4 linked regions of the Nothobranchius furzeri genome follow. The protein of the gene in region 1 interacts with the protein of each later gene in a pairwise test. Links are inferred from orthologs where the notes say so. Each region holds a gene or a part of one and is shown on either strand. Other genes may lie near its edges. The genes, in order: heterogeneous nuclear ribonucleoprotein Q-like, prmt1, nupr1b and heterogeneous nuclear ribonucleoprotein D0.

The links.
Region 2: the proteins of heterogeneous nuclear ribonucleoprotein Q-like (region 1) and prmt1 interact in binary tests that used the Homo sapiens proteins (3 or more experiments, as listed by UniProt). The link is inferred for Nothobranchius furzeri from reciprocal best matches to the Homo sapiens genes SYNCRIP and PRMT1.
Region 3: the proteins of heterogeneous nuclear ribonucleoprotein Q-like (region 1) and nupr1b interact in a two-hybrid assay, tested with the Homo sapiens proteins (2 studies listed by BioGRID and IntAct). The link is inferred for Nothobranchius furzeri from reciprocal best matches to the Homo sapiens genes SYNCRIP and NUPR1.
Region 4: the proteins of heterogeneous nuclear ribonucleoprotein Q-like (region 1) and heterogeneous nuclear ribonucleoprotein D0 interact in binary tests that used the Homo sapiens proteins (3 or more experiments, as listed by UniProt). The link is inferred for Nothobranchius furzeri from reciprocal best matches to the Homo sapiens genes SYNCRIP and HNRNPD.

What each region holds. Positions count from the first base shown.
Region 1 is NC_091742.1:17,031,419-17,036,857, forward strand, and holds the start of heterogeneous nuclear ribonucleoprotein Q-like, read right to left. Parts: upstream 3,331-5,439; 5' UTR 3,191-3,330; exon of another isoform or gene 3,178-3,190; intron 280-3,177; coding exon 126-279; intron 9-125; coding exon 1-8. UniProt on the Homo sapiens protein: Heterogenous nuclear ribonucleoprotein (hnRNP) implicated in mRNA processing mechanisms. Component of the CRD-mediated complex that promotes MYC mRNA stability.
Region 2 is NC_091758.1:13,911,311-13,916,541, forward strand, and holds the start of prmt1 (protein arginine N-methyltransferase 1), read right to left. Parts: upstream 3,655-5,231; 5' UTR 3,546-3,654; coding exon 3,513-3,545; intron 1-3,512. UniProt on the Homo sapiens protein: Arginine methyltransferase that methylates (mono and asymmetric dimethylation) the guanidino nitrogens of arginyl residues present in proteins such as ESR1, histone H2, H3 and H4, FMR1, ILF3, HNRNPA1, HNRNPD, NFATC2IP, SUPT5H, TAF15, EWS, HABP4, SERBP1, RBM15, FOXO1, CHTOP, MAP3K5/ASK1, MICU1 and NPRL2.
Region 3 is NC_091745.1:29,321,498-29,325,762, forward strand, and holds nupr1b (nuclear protein 1b), read right to left. Parts: upstream 2,327-4,265; 5' UTR 2,129-2,326; coding exon 2,029-2,128; intron 1,943-2,028; coding exon 1,815-1,942; 3' UTR 1,807-1,814; intron 1,294-1,806; 3' UTR 1,010-1,293; downstream 1-1,009. Other genes in the region: sgf29 (SAGA-associated factor 29), read right to left, coding at 72-137. UniProt on the Homo sapiens protein: Transcription regulator that converts stress signals into a program of gene expression that empowers cells with resistance to the stress induced by a change in their microenvironment.
Region 4 is NC_091746.1:62,882,546-62,886,073, forward strand, and holds part of heterogeneous nuclear ribonucleoprotein D0, read right to left. Parts: intron 3,408-3,528; coding exon 3,246-3,407; intron 3,129-3,245; coding exon 2,997-3,128; intron 2,914-2,996; coding exon 2,817-2,913; intron 1,855-2,816; coding exon 1,690-1,854; intron 1,604-1,689; coding exon 1,536-1,603; 3' UTR 1,521-1,535; intron 1,177-1,520; exon of another isoform or gene 1,039-1,176; intron 1-1,038. UniProt on the Homo sapiens protein: Binds with high affinity to RNA molecules that contain AU-rich elements (AREs) found within the 3'-UTR of many proto-oncogenes and cytokine mRNAs.

The sequences.
Region 1 (5,439 bases):
CACCAGACCTGTGGCAGGAAATGCAGTAACTATTATTAGATGCACTTAATGATGTTCTGCTCTCACACCAACCAACACCACCATACAGGTAGGAAACACTGTTGTCAGGTAACTGCAGACCGTACCTTCTGCAAACAGCTCATCTAGCTTCTCCGCTACCTTCTGAGCTAAACCAGCTTCCAACAAGGCCGGGAAATGTTCCGTGTGGGCCACTGCTGATGTGTCCGTGGGCTCCTCTGTGTTCCCGTTAACGTGGTCTGTGGCCATGTCTCCAGACATCTGCAGACACAGAGCTCAGTTACCACCGGGGCTCATGGGAGACAGATCTATGTCTTTTAGAAACGCTGAGTAAACATGTACAAATTGTTCTGTAGCCAGTTTTAAACCGTTAGATCTTTAACTAGAAGTGCTCACGGCGCATGTGCACACATGCATCAGCGCAGCTCACCAGCTGTTTCCCTATTTGCTCATTTTTATTTGTACACTATTGCACACAATAACAAGGACTGTCAAGACGGCGTGTTTGTCAGATTAAACTGATAAGATGTTGATTCACTTTCATCGTCTTCCTCCTCCAACCTCCAGCGATCCCAACGGACAATAACAACTGGGGATGTATGCTTACCAAACTTTCTTTAACCGGCTAGCGACGCTCCGTAGCGGTCAATAGCCCCCCCCAAACATTTGCCTCGCTCTATGAATAACACTTTCTCCATCTACTCTTTAATACAATGACTCACGACTTAAGTCCCACACTCGTTATGTTTATGAACAAAAGTAAAGAGAGTGGGATGACAGCTGGATTGTCCGTCAGACTCAGCGGACCATCTGATCTCAGATACGCAGCGCTGCTTGTGATCACGTGCTGATAAGTGCAGTCTGGCCGCGGTTTTAACACCTAGTGTAATTATTTAGTTGAATGCAAGAAAACTTAATTTCTTTATTGTACTGGACAAATAAGGCATCAGGCATAAGGAGCGTCACGGCCGACGGACCTGCTGCTGGTCTCGGCTCGGCGCTCTGATGTGAGGCTTTTTGTGCTCCAAGAATGAAATAACGAAAGAACAAACAATAACCGCTAACTCTAATAACCGCTTGTGTTTCAGCACATTTGTTAGGTCTTGTGATGAGCTCATTTCTTCTTCTGCGGTCGCCCAGTAAACCATTTGACAGTGGCACTCTTGCGTCCTCTAGTGGCACAAAATATATTGCACCAAGCACAGCAGAAGGACTTGAAACAGTTAACTGGAAAAAACTAGTTTACCTGGTCACAACATTAAAGGCAATTAAGCAGTTAACTACGTGCATCCCTAATAATACGATAAGTCTGACGTGTTGTGTAAAAACAGCTGATTTTAGCATATTTGTGGGCCCAACATGTCGCTACCAGACATACAGTGTGAGCACGTAACTCGTGAGACTTGCTCTGCAAGGAAGTCGTACAGTTTGAGCTGAAACTCAACTCTACCAGTTAAAACACCGCCCAGTTAAAGGGCAAATTTTTATTTCCTGTGATGAAATGTAGATCCCTTTGCGTTGGTTGCACCAGCACATGTAACAGTTTGGACTGTTTACCATGATGCTTCTTTCATTTAAATTCAGTCTCGGAAATATTCCTCAGCTTTTAGTATCGCGATATTTTCTACTCTGTATCGCGATACGTATCGTATGAACATGCATCCCTAACTCTGAACACAAAGTTTTTACGACAGAATAAACCCCCTCAATGCTCTTGACTTACTAGTTTGATTATGAATCTTTTCTTATCCAGTCACATCTTATCAGTCTTACTCCACTCCCACTTCCTGTTTGAAAAATGCAACAAATGCTGTTGCCTAGCGCACGCACACACACACGAACACAGGTTCACAACAACATTGTGACATAATGTACCAGCTAACGTCATGGTGTACCTCTTAGCCAATAGCAATGTCAGATTTAAATTCAGCTGCAGTGCAGGGTGTTTACCTGAACACGGTGCGACACTGAGTTTTAGGAATATTATTTACATTTGAAGTATGATACACTAAAGGCCCAAATTATTGACTGCATGCGTCTACAGCCCGATTAGACACTAGTTTATATAATGTATCAGCAAAAGAAGTAGATTTGGGGGTGACTTGCTCTTTAAAGTTGATAACCCTGGTCCAATGGTCTAACCCTTGTCCTCCAGGGCCACCGTTCTGGTGTGTCTGCTCCAGTAATTGGTTTCTTAGGGAAGCGAACTGAACCAGGTGTGTTGGAGCAGGAAAACAACCAAAACATGCTACACGGTGGCCCGGGAAGACCAGCGTTAGATTGCCCTGGCCTAACTGTTGTGTTAGTGGGTAAATCTACCGATAACACCTGTTGTGATCCTAGACTGGTTTAAACACAGCTAACTGATCTGTTTCCGGGTGACTTCAGACAACAGCCGCCGGTATTTGGCGCCATCGAGCTGGACAGCGGACATCGTCTGACCACACTGATCCGGTTAGATCGTTACTAAACTGAAAACCCATCAGCGACAGATCGGAGTCGTTTAAAACAAACAAAAACATGGATAAGTAGCCCCAGAGCAGCGACCCGGTCTAATGGACCATAACTGCTGAAACCAACACTCACCACACCTGAGAGCGCGTGGGGCTCGAGTAATAATAATAATAATAATAATGCACTGAGTTTATATAGCGCTTTTCTAGACACCCAAAGACGCTTTCACACACTCTCACATTCACACACTTGTAGCCACAGCCGCCCTGGGGAGGTCTGACAGAGGCGAGGCTGCCATTTGGCGCCGTCGGCCCCTCTGACCACCACTAACACAGGCAAGTTGGGTGAAGTGTCTTGCCCAAGGACACAACAGCAGGATACCCCTGGCGGGAGCTGGAATCGAACCCATGACCCTCCGATCACGAGGCAATCCGCTCTACCACCTGAGCTACTGCTTCCCCCGTAGTAGGCCTCGGTAGTTACCGCGCCGACACCGGTGAATGGAGAACGTGTACCGTGATGTATTAAACACTGTTGGCTATGAGCCATAAGCTCTCCTTTCCCTGCATTACCCCAATAACGGCATCGATGGACGCGTGTCCGATTCTTTCCTCAAAAGACCGGTTAGCACAGCCGGTCGAGCAGCACGCTGTAGAGGCGCGTGCACGAGCCAAACTCGGGGCTACCATGTTTGTTGCTACCTACCACGCGAAGCTACCTGTGGGTGCACGATGCTGATCCGCCGTGTTGATGATAGTCCAAATTAAGAGAAACGTTAGCGCGGGTAATCTCTTGGTTGACACCCGGGATACAAAATGGCGTCTGTATAACGTCGCGAGCGCTGCTGCTTCATTTTAGCATAAACGGGGCTTCTGAGTGACCTTCGCAGGGGCTCCTCCGGTTTCACCACCGCCCGGTGAGCGATGCTATGGGATTAGATTTGTGCCAATAGGATCAAGAAAAACACTTTGAAGATCAAATATTAAGACATTGCGAGAGAAAAAAATTGTTTCAAAAGAAAAACTTATGATCTGAATCAACTTCTTAAAATGAGTAACAAAGTATGTTTCCTTTTTCTGTTTGCCTCTATGTGTTTTTGTTATCAGTTTCCTTAGTTTCGTTCTCGCTGCACACAGCTTAGCTCTCACTACCAGATTTGCACTTAAACTTTCTGGCTTTCTCTTTTGCAATCCCTGAGTTTTTGGTTGCAATTCTGACACAACCCTTTCGGGTGGGTGGGACTTCTGAGAAGTCCTCTCCTATAGGACAGTGGTTTCTCTTGAGTGACTGTTCAGTGACCCGGAAGTGATGTAGCCTCCAAGACATTCTTTTCCCACCTCGGTCAACAACATGAATTTTGAGCCCCAAACACATTATTTCTGCTGTCTGTGGTGTCTACTGAGGATCTAAAGTGACAATTGATGATATATTTGATCTTTTCTTAGTTAATCTGTAAATTAAGCCACTTTTTAAGTTGGTTTTAACCAGACGTTAGCTCACTAGCTAGCTGCTAAGCAAGCATTGTGCTAGCCTAAGGACAATGGTCTATTGTTCCAGAGAGACGTATTAAAAATTCATCTTAACATATTCATTACTGGTTTCATGGAATTAATTATTGCAGTTTATGTTAATAAGTTTGCTAATTTTTCAGGAACCTGTGGAACATCAGAGACTTTGCAGCTACTGGAGCTAACCTGTGTACTGCTAACTTGCTACAGAGGAAGCAGCAGAAAGCTGAGCTAACAGGCTAGTTTGCAGGTAAATACTCTTTTAGTGGAACTGTAGGATTTTTATGGTATAACTCAGACAGAATCTACATGAGCTATTGTGGGAAGACATTTTAACTACATTTACATACAGATACATGTATTTTTTCTTCCATGTTACTTGGACGGGCTAAACAAGTTCATAGTTCTGCCTGCTCCTTTTTCAGTGAAACGAATGGATTATATGATGTAACTCTGACTGAATAATAATCTAAGTGAGCATGTTTGATAATACATTTCTTACTAGTATACAGATCTGACATTTGTTTGTCAGAACAGGACAAATCAGATTCAACCGCTCAGATTGGTCACTTCAAACAAGGAAAATCTCTGGCTCTCACAGACCTGTAACGTCTTCTTTAAGAAGCTTTTCTGTCCTCCAGTCGTTACTTGTATTAATGGCACCTGTTTGAACTCATTATAAGACACCTGTCCACAGCCTCAAACAGTCACACTCCAAACTCCACTATGGCCAAGACCAAAGAGCTTTCGAAGGACACCAGGAAAAGAATTGTAGACCTGCACCAGGCTGGGAAGAGTGAATCTACAATAGGCAAGCAGCTTGGTGTGAAAAAATCAACTATGGGAGCAATTATCAGAAAATGGAAGACATACAAGACCACTGATAATCTCCCTCGATCTGGGGCTCCACGCAAGCTCTCATCCCGTGGGGTCAAAATGATCATGAGAACGGTGAGCAAGAATCCCAGAACCACACGGGGGGACCTGGTGAATGACCTGCAGAGAGCTGGGACCACAGTAACAAAGGTCACCATCAGTAACACACTACAACGGCAGAGAATCAAATCCTGCAGTGCCAGACGTGTTCCGCTGCTGAAGCCAGTGCATGTCCAGGCCCGTCTGAAGTTTGCCAGAGAGCACATGGATGATACAGTAGAGGATTGGGAGAATGTCATGTGGTCAGATGAAACCAAAGAAGAACTTTTTGGTATAAACTCAACTCGTCGTGTTTGGAGGAAGAAGAATACTGAGTTGCATCCCAAGAACACCATACCTACTGTGAAGCATGGGGGTGGGAACATCATGCTTTGGGGCTGTTTTTCTGCTAAGAGGACAGGACGACTGATCCGTGTTAAGGAAATAATGAATGGGGCCATGTATCGTGAGATTCTGAGCCAAAACCTTCTTCCATCAGTGAGAGCTTTGAAGATGAAACGTGGCTGGGTCTTCCAACACGACA
Region 2 (5,231 bases), on another chromosome or scaffold:
TCAGGGCTCTACATGGTCAAGCTCCTCCCTATATTACTGAACTGTTAAAGCCTTATGCTCCAACCCGAGCCCTCAGGTCCACCCACCAGAACCTTCTAGAAGTTCCAAAGGCCAGATACAAAAGTCTAGGTGATGCTCCTTCCAGTCTGTTGCACCCCGGCTCTGGAATGATCTTCCTTTATCCTTATGTAGGATTGACAGTCTGGACACTTGTAGTAATCTTTCATTGGTTTTACTTTATTTTTTCTGACGTTAATTTATTTCTGTTTTGAGATCATTATATTTTATTTTGATCTGTGTGAAGATTGTGATTCTGCCTGTGATAAGTGTTATATAAATCAAATTTACTTACAACTAGGGTTGTCAGGGTAACCGGTGTAGCAGTAAACCCCGTAAAAAAGTTGACAATAATAATAACCGTCTTGTTTTTAAAAACTATATTATCTCGGTGGGTTTACCGTGGCTGCGGTGTAGGCGCGGTGACCCTTACCAGCCACCGTATCATCTGCTGAAGTTGCCGGCGGCACATGCACGCTTAGTTGTTTACAACCAAAACTTTCTTGAAGCTAAAGCTGAAATAATGGCCAAAGGAGGAGACGGCAGCACTCAGGACATTTATTATCCCTCAAAGAAGACAAAGTGGGAAGTACGGGCATTTTTTGGATATTTGAAGAATGCAGAGGGACAGTTTATAGAAGACGGCTATCCTGTTTGCAGCTCGTGCAGGAAAAGTGTCTGTGAAAGGCAGCAACGCTTCAAATCTCATGACACATCGGCGTGACCATCACCCACAACTCTACAGTCAACGCAAGGCAAGCTAATGTTAGCATTTTAGCTAAAATGCGTGATCCAAGGATTTGGGTTGAGGGAGAATGCAACGAGTCGCTATATAAAGCAGCTGCAGCGCCGCTACCTGCATATAAACCGTGTCGCAGACTAGGGCTGCTCAATTAATCGAATTTTAATCACGATTACGATCTGAGTTTTGAACGATTATAAAAAACAAAACAAGCCGATTATTTGCTCCTCCCGCCTGCGCTGCCCCGAGTTGCAAATGAAGCGCTCCTCACAGTGTTGCCAACTTAGCGACTTTGACGCTATTTCTAGCAGCTTTTCAGACACCCTTCTTGACTTTTTAACTTAAAAGTACCTAGCGAACACCTGAGAAACATCTCTGGTAACCCTTAGCTACTTTCTGGATAACTGTCATCGACATTTCCTGCAGGTTAGCTTAACACTCCGCCTGCGCCCCGGACCGTTCTTCAGGACATTAGGAAAGGGAATGATGTAGTGATGTGTCAGTCGCTAAAGAAACAGCTCTCAGAGCCGGCTCCCTGTTGGAGTAACCAGAGTGAGTGACACACACACCGCACCTGCGGACTCCTGAGCCACTAAAAACGGCTAAATGTGCGTGTGCGGCGCGCTAAACACACGTGCAGTTTGCCCCGATTGCTGTGAGACCGGGTTGGGGGGTGCAGCTGTGGTTGGGACAATTATTACATTAACTGATGGACTTGTAAATAAATAGTTTATAAATAATGTAGAAATAAGTTCCTCACGCTGATAATTAATAACTAATCTCTGAGGACACGGTGCTAGTGCACTCTCCTACAGCACCTTGACACAACTAAATAAATGTTATGCAACATTTTGTGAACATAAATTTATTTGCATGTATTTGTTGCCACTGTATAATTCTTGCTGTCAGTATTTGCAAGATATTGGTATTTGGGTCTGTACTGGTTAGACTTAAATGAGTTAAACCAAGGTCTATAGCCCTTGGGTCATAAACTATGAGCTATAAAAATATATTGGTCTTTTTATACTGGGAATCAGGAGTTCTTTTAGTGATCATCTTGTTTCTTATTTTTGTCCTGATTGTGCCCTGAGCAATTTTATGACTGAATAAAAACAAATAAAATCAACATAAATTGAAAAATCGTCCTAAATAATCGTGATCTCAATTTCAGTCACCATAATCGTGATTATTATTTTCGCCATAATCGAGCAGCCCTATCGCAGACACCCCATGTTGAAATGACGCTATGCATTACGGGGCTCCCAGGGGCAGATAAGAGTTGGTCTCTCTCCGAGAATAATTATGAATTTAACAATGATTACTGCCTGATGACATTTTCCCACATCTGCAAAGCTCACTGGAAGGACACAAACCGAGGACAATATTTACCTGATATAGGGTTTGTTACTCAAGTAAGGGTAAAGTATCTGATTAGAAGGCTACTTGAGTACTGAGTATCATCGGATCTAATATTTTTAAATGATGACATCAAACAGACAAAAAATAAGTAGCAAATATCTGTATTTTAAAGACTAATGGGAAACAATGTAAACAAATAAACATTACAAAATAACACATTTTAGGCAAAATTTAGACAAACTGTGGAGAATATTTCCTGACATACAGGGTTTATTTAATTGTGTGAAAATGTAGCACGTTAAAAAAATACCGCGATAATACCGAAAACCGTGGTAATTTTGGTCACAATAACCGTGAGCTTAAATTTTCACACCGTGACAACCCTACCTCAGACCCACCGGTCTGCCTGTTTTTACCGCTGCTGCTACGCTGTCTCTGAGGACAAAGATGACGTAATAAATACATTCCGTCCTAGTGAGGATTCAGGAACCAGTCCCCTGAGCTCCTGTGATCAGGAACCAGCAGCAGCATCTACTACCACGTCTAAACTAAACCGTCTCTTATGCTTGTCCACTCTGACTGAGGTTAAACGTAACCAGCGTTGTGTTAAAGCAATTTGACCACGTTAAAAAAACCGAGAATGTTCACCTCACTGACTTTAAACATGTACAATAATCGCGAGGAGTAAACTGGGCAGAGGGCTGTTAGATGGGAGATGAGTGTCAACGTGCACCCGGCTCCCGACACCTCCAGACCGAACAGATTAGCTTAGCGGCTAAGTCTCCCTCCCATGAACGCTACAGAAGTTTAAACACTTTAAATTTTAAGTTTGTTTGACTCTGAGCCCAGCGGTTTTCTAACCCGAGTAAAACATGTAGCTTCGGAGGCTAACCAGCACAAGAGGTAACATGTTGGACTGACTCACTGTACAAAGCCGATAACTAGTTAGCATCAGAGGCTAACTAGCTTCAGAGCTAACACGTTGGACCCATTGTGCAAAGCCGAGAACCAGTTATCATAGACTACCTAGCTTCAGAGCTAACACGTTGGACCCATGCGGTCACAGAGGACACACCGGCTAACTTCAGCCATTACCGCTCACTCACGATGTAACGAAATTTTTAAATCACGACCTACACGCGTTACTGACTGAGTGTCAGAGTTTTGTCGTATTTTTTCTGATTTGTTCTAACTGCGACACTAATGAATGAGCGGCATCAGCAGACACATGAAACCACGTTTAAAAATCGGTTTTTCTGTGTGTGGTAAAGAAACACACGTCCGACATCGGTGGAAGCCAACACTAAAAATTCGTGTGTGTGAAGTTACTATATTTCTCCCAGTAAGTCCTTACCTCCATCCTTTCTGCTGGCGCCGCCATTTCCATCTTCTGCCTTGTGTCGTGTCTTCTTCTTCGTCAGGTTCTTCTACTTTGGCGGACGGCTGCTTCTTCTTCTTCTGGACTTACATACGTCATTTACAGCGTTTCCGCCATATTGGATGGGCCTCCTTTGTGCTGCCTATGGCTAAAACAACCGGCGTACTATTGAAAGCAGATCACGTGGGATTACCAGAGACTTTTCTAGCCTACCTGATGGGATTTTATATTAAATTTAATTAATATTTATTTTGTTTAATTATATTTATATTTTATTATTATGCCATACATTGTGCCTGATTTTGTGAAAAAGCTCGATTAAATTTGTTTTTTAGTTGAGTTAGCCCCTTCCTCAGTAGAAATTAATGCACCGGGGGCGAATGGAGACCCATCCAAAATGGCGGATGGCCACTACGGCAGATCCAGTCCACGGGGCGTTGCCGTAAATATGTCTGCGCATACCTAACGTGAAAAGGTGTTTACTGCCACCTACTGTTAGTAGTAATCGGACGTTTTATTTATTGAAGACTCCTCGACTTTTATAAGCTTGGAAGGCTTTTACTGAGCATCAATGCTTTTTTACAGCAGCACCTGAGAACCACAGCGCCCCCAACTGGAGATGACGGGTATCTTTATTTTAAAGTATCTTTTTTTATATCAACTAAACAGAGGATTATTGACATTTGGAATAACAGCACCCAAACATCGGAAAAGTTGGAGTGCATTATGAACAAATGACCTTGACTCCATCACTAAGAGAACAAATTAAAATTTGTATGCATCAGTTTCTCTGAGGACCTCTCCTGAGGCCCCAAAGGCTAAACAGCATTTGTATTTGCTGAGAAGGCTGAGGAAGTTTAGGATGCCAAGTCCTGCCCTCACCAGTCCGTACTCCATCAAGAGAGGAAATGGAACAGCTTCACACGAGACGAGCTATGTGTGGAAACAGCTCAGCAAACGAATACCAGGCAGGCTCCATGGTGGATGCAGCAAAAAAGAAAAAAATAATCCACTGGCTCAGCACTCTACACTGGAAATGCTGCCTACTTCTACAACACCTGTCCTTAGGAGGAAAAACAACATCATCAGGGGACTGAACCCCCACAACACAAACTGTGCAGCTTTTATCTACAAAAGCACAATAACCAGAAGCACCAGACTAAAAGAGAGTTTTATTCTTCTGACTTATCGGCCCCATCCTGCAACACCAGTTCACCCACTGCTAAAATAAATGCACAAAAATCTTTGACCTAATCATTCACTCTGAAAAATATTGCACAGGTAGATGTGTTGCACAATACGTTTAGGTTTGTTGTTTTTGTGTACTGTTTGTACAAATACATGTTTACATGTTGCCCTGTGGGGTATGTTACTTCTTAAATGTTTGCATTTGTGCACCTGTGTTTGGCCTACCTCAGGTATCCTAATTATTACTGTCCTGGTACTAGAAGGGTCTACCAGAGCAGATAGATGCAGACTGTGCAACAACGCTGCCTCACTCAGAGAGACTCCAGTTATCAATCGTGGGAAAGTCTGCATGGTGGCACAGTTGCTAGCACTATTGCCTTGCAAGAAAATGGCTGTGCGCTCAAATAACAGCTATGGCCTTTGAGGGTTAGGGTTTGGCCTGTGAGGAATTAGCATGTTCTCTAGGTGCATACATGGGTTTCTCTGTGTCCTCTGTCTTCATCTCAC
Region 3 (4,265 bases), on another chromosome or scaffold:
AGACAACAGACGAACCGATTATTTACCAGGTGTGCTGACCCAGATCAGCTGCCACCCGAACCGGAACTCACTTGAGTCTGTTTGATGAGCTGGTGGAGCTCCGTCAGCAGCTCTGCGATCTTTGTGTCGGCAGACATGTTTTATCCTGTAAGATTCTCAAATTCAAACAGCTTCTAAAAGCAGCGATGAAGAAGAACTTTTGCTTAAATATTAATGGTAGCATTCTGCTCGACTGCGTTAGCGACTGGCTCAATATACAAAAACAAGATAATTTAACAACAAAATCAGAGCCATCATTTCCTCGTGACATAATCCCAGTGATATTTATCCCATTCGACTTGTATCAAACCCATTAATGTACTCACCGAACAGATTTACGTGTTTATTTACTTCAGACGCTAACTACATGTCTCCTTCTTGGCTGTTTGAGGGGTCGCTTTACCGCTTGTAACAGGAACAGCGCCAATTTCTGCTGTGGTCAGTGTCTGGAACTGCAACCATGGTCGAAAACTGTCGAAACCCTTTTCGCCCCGTTCCCCCCCCCCCCCCTCCTTTTTAATTACGTGTAGCAGCACCTATGACGTACGTACACGTGCCATAACAATGAGCCGTATTGGTTAAAGAATGAAAAATGTCTGTTTAACTGAAGCAGTTGCATGTTTGAGATTTATCTCAAGTTTTTTGTCACTTGTAATATTTCAGTCAAGACATCTTTAGAGCATTTATTCTGTCAAATGCTTGAATAAATTCCCCCTGAGGTACATTTAAAATTTTTGGGACTTGTCAAGTGTATTTTTTATATGGACACCAAGTTCTTTATCAATAATCTAAACAATTTTAAGTCCACTGAACTAAAACACAAAAAGGACAAGAATGAGAAAATAACTTTTCTTTCATCGCACAATTTATGAAACAATGACAAAAGAATAAAAGATAGCCCTTGTTTTCATTTACATTTTTCCCCTTTCACTGAGATTCTAGGCTAAACAAAAACAACAACACTCTGACGTTAGTTGAAACATTTTAATTATAAAACGACCTTGTAAAAACAACCATCCTTCAGCTGCAAAGTCACAACCGAAGGTGCACCTCTGTGGCCTGAGCCATGACTCTGAACTCAGGTAAACTCCAACACCAGAGATCAGTGTACAACCCCTGCAGGCATCAGAGAAGAGGCCTGGATCTGCAGGCTCTTCGCCACGCCGAGGTTAATCCCAGCAGAGCTCCAACAAGCTCCATCAATCTGCACGTCGAGGCCGTGGTCAGTTTCCAGGTAAAGCTGTCCGAGTCGCCCTGTTAAAAACAAAAGACCAAAGCCTGGTTATTGTAAACACATCTGCAGAGCAGAACCAAGCACACAACACTGATCATTTTACACAATCATTCCAGATAGATTGATGGTCAAAATCAATCCTCCCAAATGGATTAAAACAATTAGGCAAACATGTTGTGTGCAACTTAAATCTATTTATCAACTTTCAATTTTAGGATTTTGGTTTGATGCAAATATTTGAGAACATTTCTTGAAATGGGGCGTTTTAAGCAGTAGTTGGGTTAAGTGAAGCCACCAAACAGTTCCAGCTTTCACCTGCTTTAGGTGGTAAACTCGGGTTTAAAGGGTTAATTCTGTTTGCGTCGTGGCAGCAGCTCTGCAGGAAGCGCTCCAAATCCCGGAGAAATCCAACAATTTAACGTTTATAAATGCTCGATGCTTTTGGATCCAACTAAACAAACAGCGTTCCTGTCGGCGGGGCCGTTAACCCAAACTGGACGGAGACTTTATTTCTGCAGGTGTGTTTGTTCCACCTTGGTCATCACTCCTTGGCTTTCTTCTCGCTGTTCTGGAGTTTCTCCGCGATCTTCCGCTCGTGTCCGGCGGGGTTGTGTCGGTTCGTGTTGTCGCTGGCCTCCTTCTTGGTTCGGCCTTTTCGGGCCGAGCCTTCTGCAACACACACACACACACACATTTACCCACCCTGAACCGGTCTGGAGTTCCGTTAGCTCCAGGCTAAGGAAAGAGCTGCTCACCTGCGTATTTGTCGGTCAGACTGTAATAATCATATTCGTCATAATGTTCTTCCTCGAACTTGTTGGAGGGTTTCAGGTTTTTCACGTCGACGTGACTCATGTTTGCTTCAGCTTCTCAACACAAAGACTCAGAAACGTTCACTCGGTACTTTTCTTCGGCTGGTCTCCTTGTTTTCGGTCTCCTCTCGGTGTTTTCTTCTCCTGCAGGTTTTTATAACTTACTGAGCTCCTCCTCCTCTCCTTTACTCCTCCTGCTGGTTTTCTATGGCGTTTAAAGCGTGCCACAACCCGTGCACGCGCATTGGGTCCACAGCGCGCGTGTGAACGGGACTCGCGAGCGGAAATATACATGGCGAGAGGTCATTTGTGCACTGAGAGGGAGCAAACTGTGTCTGTGAGCGCACAAGGTTGTGCACAAGTGACAAACCTGCGTGCGCGCGTTGTCAACGAGCACACGGCAGAGGAAAACGTGCGCGCGCGGCAGCCTCTGTGCGCGCTCGGCAGCCTCTCTGCGCGCTCGGTTTCTGACTCCTGCTCGCTCGGCTGTAAGGGTTTTGGCACTCTGGAGGCGTGGCCTGTGGCAGATCTTCTCTGTCCTCTGATTGGTTAGTGTACCCCGCACTTTACCCTCTACCTATCTATACAAAAAAGTCTGCTATTCAAGCAGTTGCTGGCATAGCTCAGTTGGGAGAGCGGGTGACTCTCGCCCCGGAGGATCCGGGTTCGAGGCCGGGCAAGGAAAATGCAGTAGATGTCATGTTAATTTTTCTTAATTTCAGGTATTTTACAGTTGTGACCGTTCAACTGTCATTAAACGTCCGAATGTTTGCTGGGCAGTGTTTTAAAAAGTGCACATAAGCTAGATGGTTTTAACCATAGAAAATTACATTTTTTGTGATACTGGAAAAATACATACTGAAATAAAACTACTGATTGAAAACTTTATGACTGTGGTTGTACAATATATGACTCACTAATACACTGCAAACTCCCTTAGAGTGGGGCTTCCAGAGAGAGAGAGAGAGAGAGAGAGACAGAGAGAGAAAAGTTCTTGCCTCATTAATGAATTGTTTATTTTTTTCAGTATTTAATTGACAAATTATCCTTTCAAATAATTAATTGATGAGTTACATAATTGTCCATTTAGAATTGTTGAATGGACTGAGTCAAGTTTGGTGCACTTTATATATTTCAAAACATGTTTTTTTTAATGATGCATATAAATAATTTAAATGTTAATTTAATGAAATATTTCTATTTTTTCATTACCTCACCCTTGTTTTGACAAAAACGGGACCTTGCTGGATAATATCATGGAGAAACTATTTGTTCACAGTACATGGCTCCGTAAGGATCTGTGTACCAAAGGAGGAGATACTCAGAAATCTGTCTGCAGATTGTTACAACCCAGACTGGAAGTGGCGGGCTGTAATAAGAAAGGAGACCAAACAGAGCAGTGGGGGTTCAACAACTGATTTATTTAACAAAAGTAAGGATTTACTAAAGCAAGTTAGTGAACAGAAAATGGCCATCTCAAGGTTTTACTCGGATGTCCCTCAGCAGGGTGCAGCACTGTTGAAGGTCATCTGAATGAAAGCTTGATATGCAGTTTCTTTATGAAAGTGTGTAAATATACAGTATGGTTGCCGTACATATGTTGAGGTTCTCAGACATCAGGCTTCTTTGCCCAGGCCTTCACTAGTGGGCTATTTTAAAAGTTGGTAAGGAGAAAAACCACAGCATATAGCTGATTGTTTACAAATGCAAGGAGGGGAATAACAATCAAAATGCTTGTGTTCTTGGACCAGATGAATGGAGCGCTCCACATGCACTCAGAGATGTTATGGCTTCTGTTTCTATAACTTTACATGCAGACATTTGAGGTTTGCCAGAAAGGAAAGCTGGCCTGTACACTTTGCAGGGCACAATGTCATCAATGAAGAAACCCCTGTCTACCAAGATGACCATCTCTAGTTGTAGCATTTTCATCACACCAGATTCCCAGGTTGGTCGCTGATAGTTCCAGCATACAGTGCTGAGACAAAGGTCACTGGCCTATGTGGCACAATCCAAATGAGCCTCTTCAGAGTGCAGTTGAACTTGAGGAAAATATATGACTCTGGAAGAGAGGGGAATATGGCCATTGACACCTCAGATCAGTGCAGTCAAGATTTACTGGTGTTTGGGTAGTCCTGAACGTGTTGTGATGCCCCCACCGTCTCATTGGGTTTTCATTT
Region 4 (3,528 bases), on another chromosome or scaffold:
ATGATGTGGCCGGCGGTAACTCATAAGGTGAATATATATGAACCCAGGTAGCAGTTTTTCTTTAGGATTGAGAGGAGATGCAGGAAGATAATAAACAGGCAGGACAGAAAAATAGTCAAATAAAAACAAGTTAGTTTTTGTACCTGCTGGTTGCAACAAACAGACACCACTGAAGGTAATCAGAAGTGAGGAACAGAAAATGAAATAATTATTTTAATGTTTAGAGCAGCAGGAACTCTGAGAGGCTGCAGGCGCATCAGTGAGTTTGCGGCCGCTGCGCAGGGGGAGGGGGGAGAGGGCTGAAGCAGAAACTACCGTTGTTAAAAGAAATGTGTTTAACTTTGAAAATGTGGGCGCAATTTTAATTGTCAAAAACTCCAGCGAACCATTAGTTCATTTTGCTCAAATAGAAATTGAGGTCTGCCTCTACTTCTGGCCCTCCTTCCAATAAAGTCCTGGAGCTTGATGAGCTTGAGTCAAATACAGGCCCGGGCTTGTATTAGAGGATTTACGGTACTTCATTTTGATCAAAAATACACATTAAAGAAAGCATTACATGCAAATTTCTGGAAACGTGACACTTTAAATCTTTTTCTGTATGATTTTGTTTAAATCAACGGTTATAAGAGAAAAATGTGTTGCAGGAAAAATTAACAAAAAGAGGAGTCTTTTCCATCGCTGTCAGTAACACAAAACAGAAGAATATAATTACACAAATTAAAGCACTTTATCCCCCAACGCAGTAGAGTCCAAACCAGGTTAAAGCTCATGGACTACTAGTTAAATAAAAAATACCATTAGAAGTGAATTATTAACATTAGAACTGGAAAGTCCAGAGAAAGCTGTATGTATCCTTTAAAAAACAGATAGTTATTTCTTTCTTTCATATGTATAATCATTACTTGTGGGGGAGTAAGGGCCTGTAAAAAGAATGACAATTACATGTGTATGTTTAAGTTTTACATTACATAACAGTCGCCAAACCCAAAAGGCTTAAAAATAGAAAGAAAGAAAAACAAAGCTGCACGTGTCCCATACTTAGAAATTCTGATACAGGATGTTGTAAGACCATACCAAATGGCAGCATTCGAGAGCGTACGCTGCTCGTACCCGGTCCGCATTGAGCGGGCCCTGAGGGTATCTGGGAGTCAGCTCATGGCCTGCAAGGAAGCTCCGCTGGCAGGTACAAACAAGGTATGTCAGAGTTAGGAGACAATAAACTTCCTTTTCTGTTTCCCTGCACATCCTTAACTTTGGCATCCATTTACTGTAGTAGCACTTTACCTGTTAACTTTACAGTTAAAAAGGAAAAACAAGAGAAGGTGCAAAAGGAGGCCGGCTGTTAAAAATAATGGCCACAAGAGCATAGCCTCTATGTTACCACTACTGTAAAGCACATGAAGGTGCTGAGAAAAAGAAATTTACGTGAGCAAATTAAACAAAATATTACAAAACACCAAAGTTAATATAGCTACTTATAGTTTGGACTAATCTGTGTGAGTTTGTTACTGGATACCTACTAGAAGCTGAGCTCTTTAATACGGCTTGAAGCTGTTGGTGTGAGCGCCACGCCGCGGCGACTTGCCGTACCCGCCAGACTGATCTGCAAATGACAGGAAAGTTAGATTTATTACCACGATACCTTCTTGGAAGTACAACAAATAAAATGTGTGTTCCAGAGATACTCACTGCTGTAGTCCACGTATCCATAATAATTATTGTACCCAGAGTAGTCATAGCCACTATAGCCTCCATATCCTTGATTGCCGTAACCGTAATTGCCATAATTCCCATAATTCCCATAGCCTTGATTCCAGTAGTTACCATAACCCTGGTTCCAGTTCTGACTGGGACCTGTGGTGGAAACAAGTCATCACGTCACACAGAACGTTTTCCAGCATCCACATTTTACCATCTGATGTTTTCTACTGAATTCAGTTGTAATTAAATTAAAAAGGTCTCAACATCTAGCAGCTCAGGGGCCATTTGAGGCCCTTGGAGGGATTTAGTGCAGCCCCAAATGCATCTGTAGAATGATCAGTTTTAGGCAGGCTGTTGATGGAAAACAACACGTTTTTTTCCCACTATTTTGGTCGTATTTTTAAAATTTCAACGTAGTCTTGAAAGGTCTGGACACCCCTGATGTAGAAGGTTGTAATAAGTCAAAGTCAAAGTCATTTATTGTCATTTCTACCACATGTGCAAGACATACAGAGAAACGAAATTGAGTTTCAGTACACACAATTCAGAGATCAGACATACATGGGCAAGACACATGACAAGAATTGGTGACTGCGGTCATTCGCAACACGAGTCGCGCTACCTTATTAGATGAAAAGGAATTACATGAGGATAGGTTGGAGGAGGGAAAAAGGCATACCAGAGTTACTCCCGACAGGGCGTAGCTGTACTATGCAAAAAAACCCTCAAACATATAAGCACGACTAAGTCGACTAGTTGATACAACCCCTAGTAGGAACCACGATCTAGAACCAGTCTCACCAACAAACATGCCCTTTATGTCCACACAACGGTGAGGACAAGTTGCAGCTTTATTCAGACATTTCAGGACCAAGCTTAGAAAAAAAATCCGCCATGAAGTTTAAAAAAATGTTGAAATGGAGTTATTTACCGATTGTTTTTATCTTTAATGAAGTTTTTCTAGAATGTTTCAGCCTGAACAGTTCTGCTGATACAGTTCTTGTGCGTTTGATAAGGAAACAATCTTCTCTGCTCAGTGAGAAACCCAGCAGGTGGAGGCAGACATAAATGTTAAACTAGCAAGAGCAATGTTTTAGTTTTCCATCCTAACTCACCTCCTCTTCCTCTGGACCTGGACGAGTATCCTCCTCTGCCTCCCCAGTACTGCTGCTGCTGGTACACCTCCTTTGACACAGCCACCTTTACTTCACACTAAAGTCAAACATTATTAATTTATTATGTCTTCATTAAGGTACAGTCATATAATGAAATCTGATTGGATGAAGTGATTGCACCTGGCTGAGTCCGATGTTGTGGTACTTCTTCTCCATAATCTTCTTCACTGGCTCCTCCTCTAGAAATGTGATGAAGCAGAAGCCTCTCCTTTTGTTAGTTTTGTTCTCCATGGGAAGTTCAATCAACTCCACCTGATTAAATCATAGTGAATGCATTCATGATATATTGGGTTTTATTTAAAAAGGAAAATGCAAGCAAAAGCTTAACGAATATAAAGTGAGGCGTGTGTGTGTGTGTATGTGTCACACCTCTCCAAAAGCACTGAAGTACTCTCTGACTTTGTCTTCATGAGTATCTGGAGACAGACCACCAACAAAGATCTTCGTCACAGGCTCCTTGGCCTTCATGGCTTTGGCTCTTTTGGGGTCGATCACCTTCCCGTTGAGCTTATGTTCCTTCTGTGATGCAACCTTCATGAGGACAAACGCCAACAATAAACCAGTTAAACGTAGAGTCAATCAACAGTTCTATGGATGGTTTGGCCTTTTGATCAAACAACTGTCAGGGTTCGTTTTTCGGGCTGCGAACATC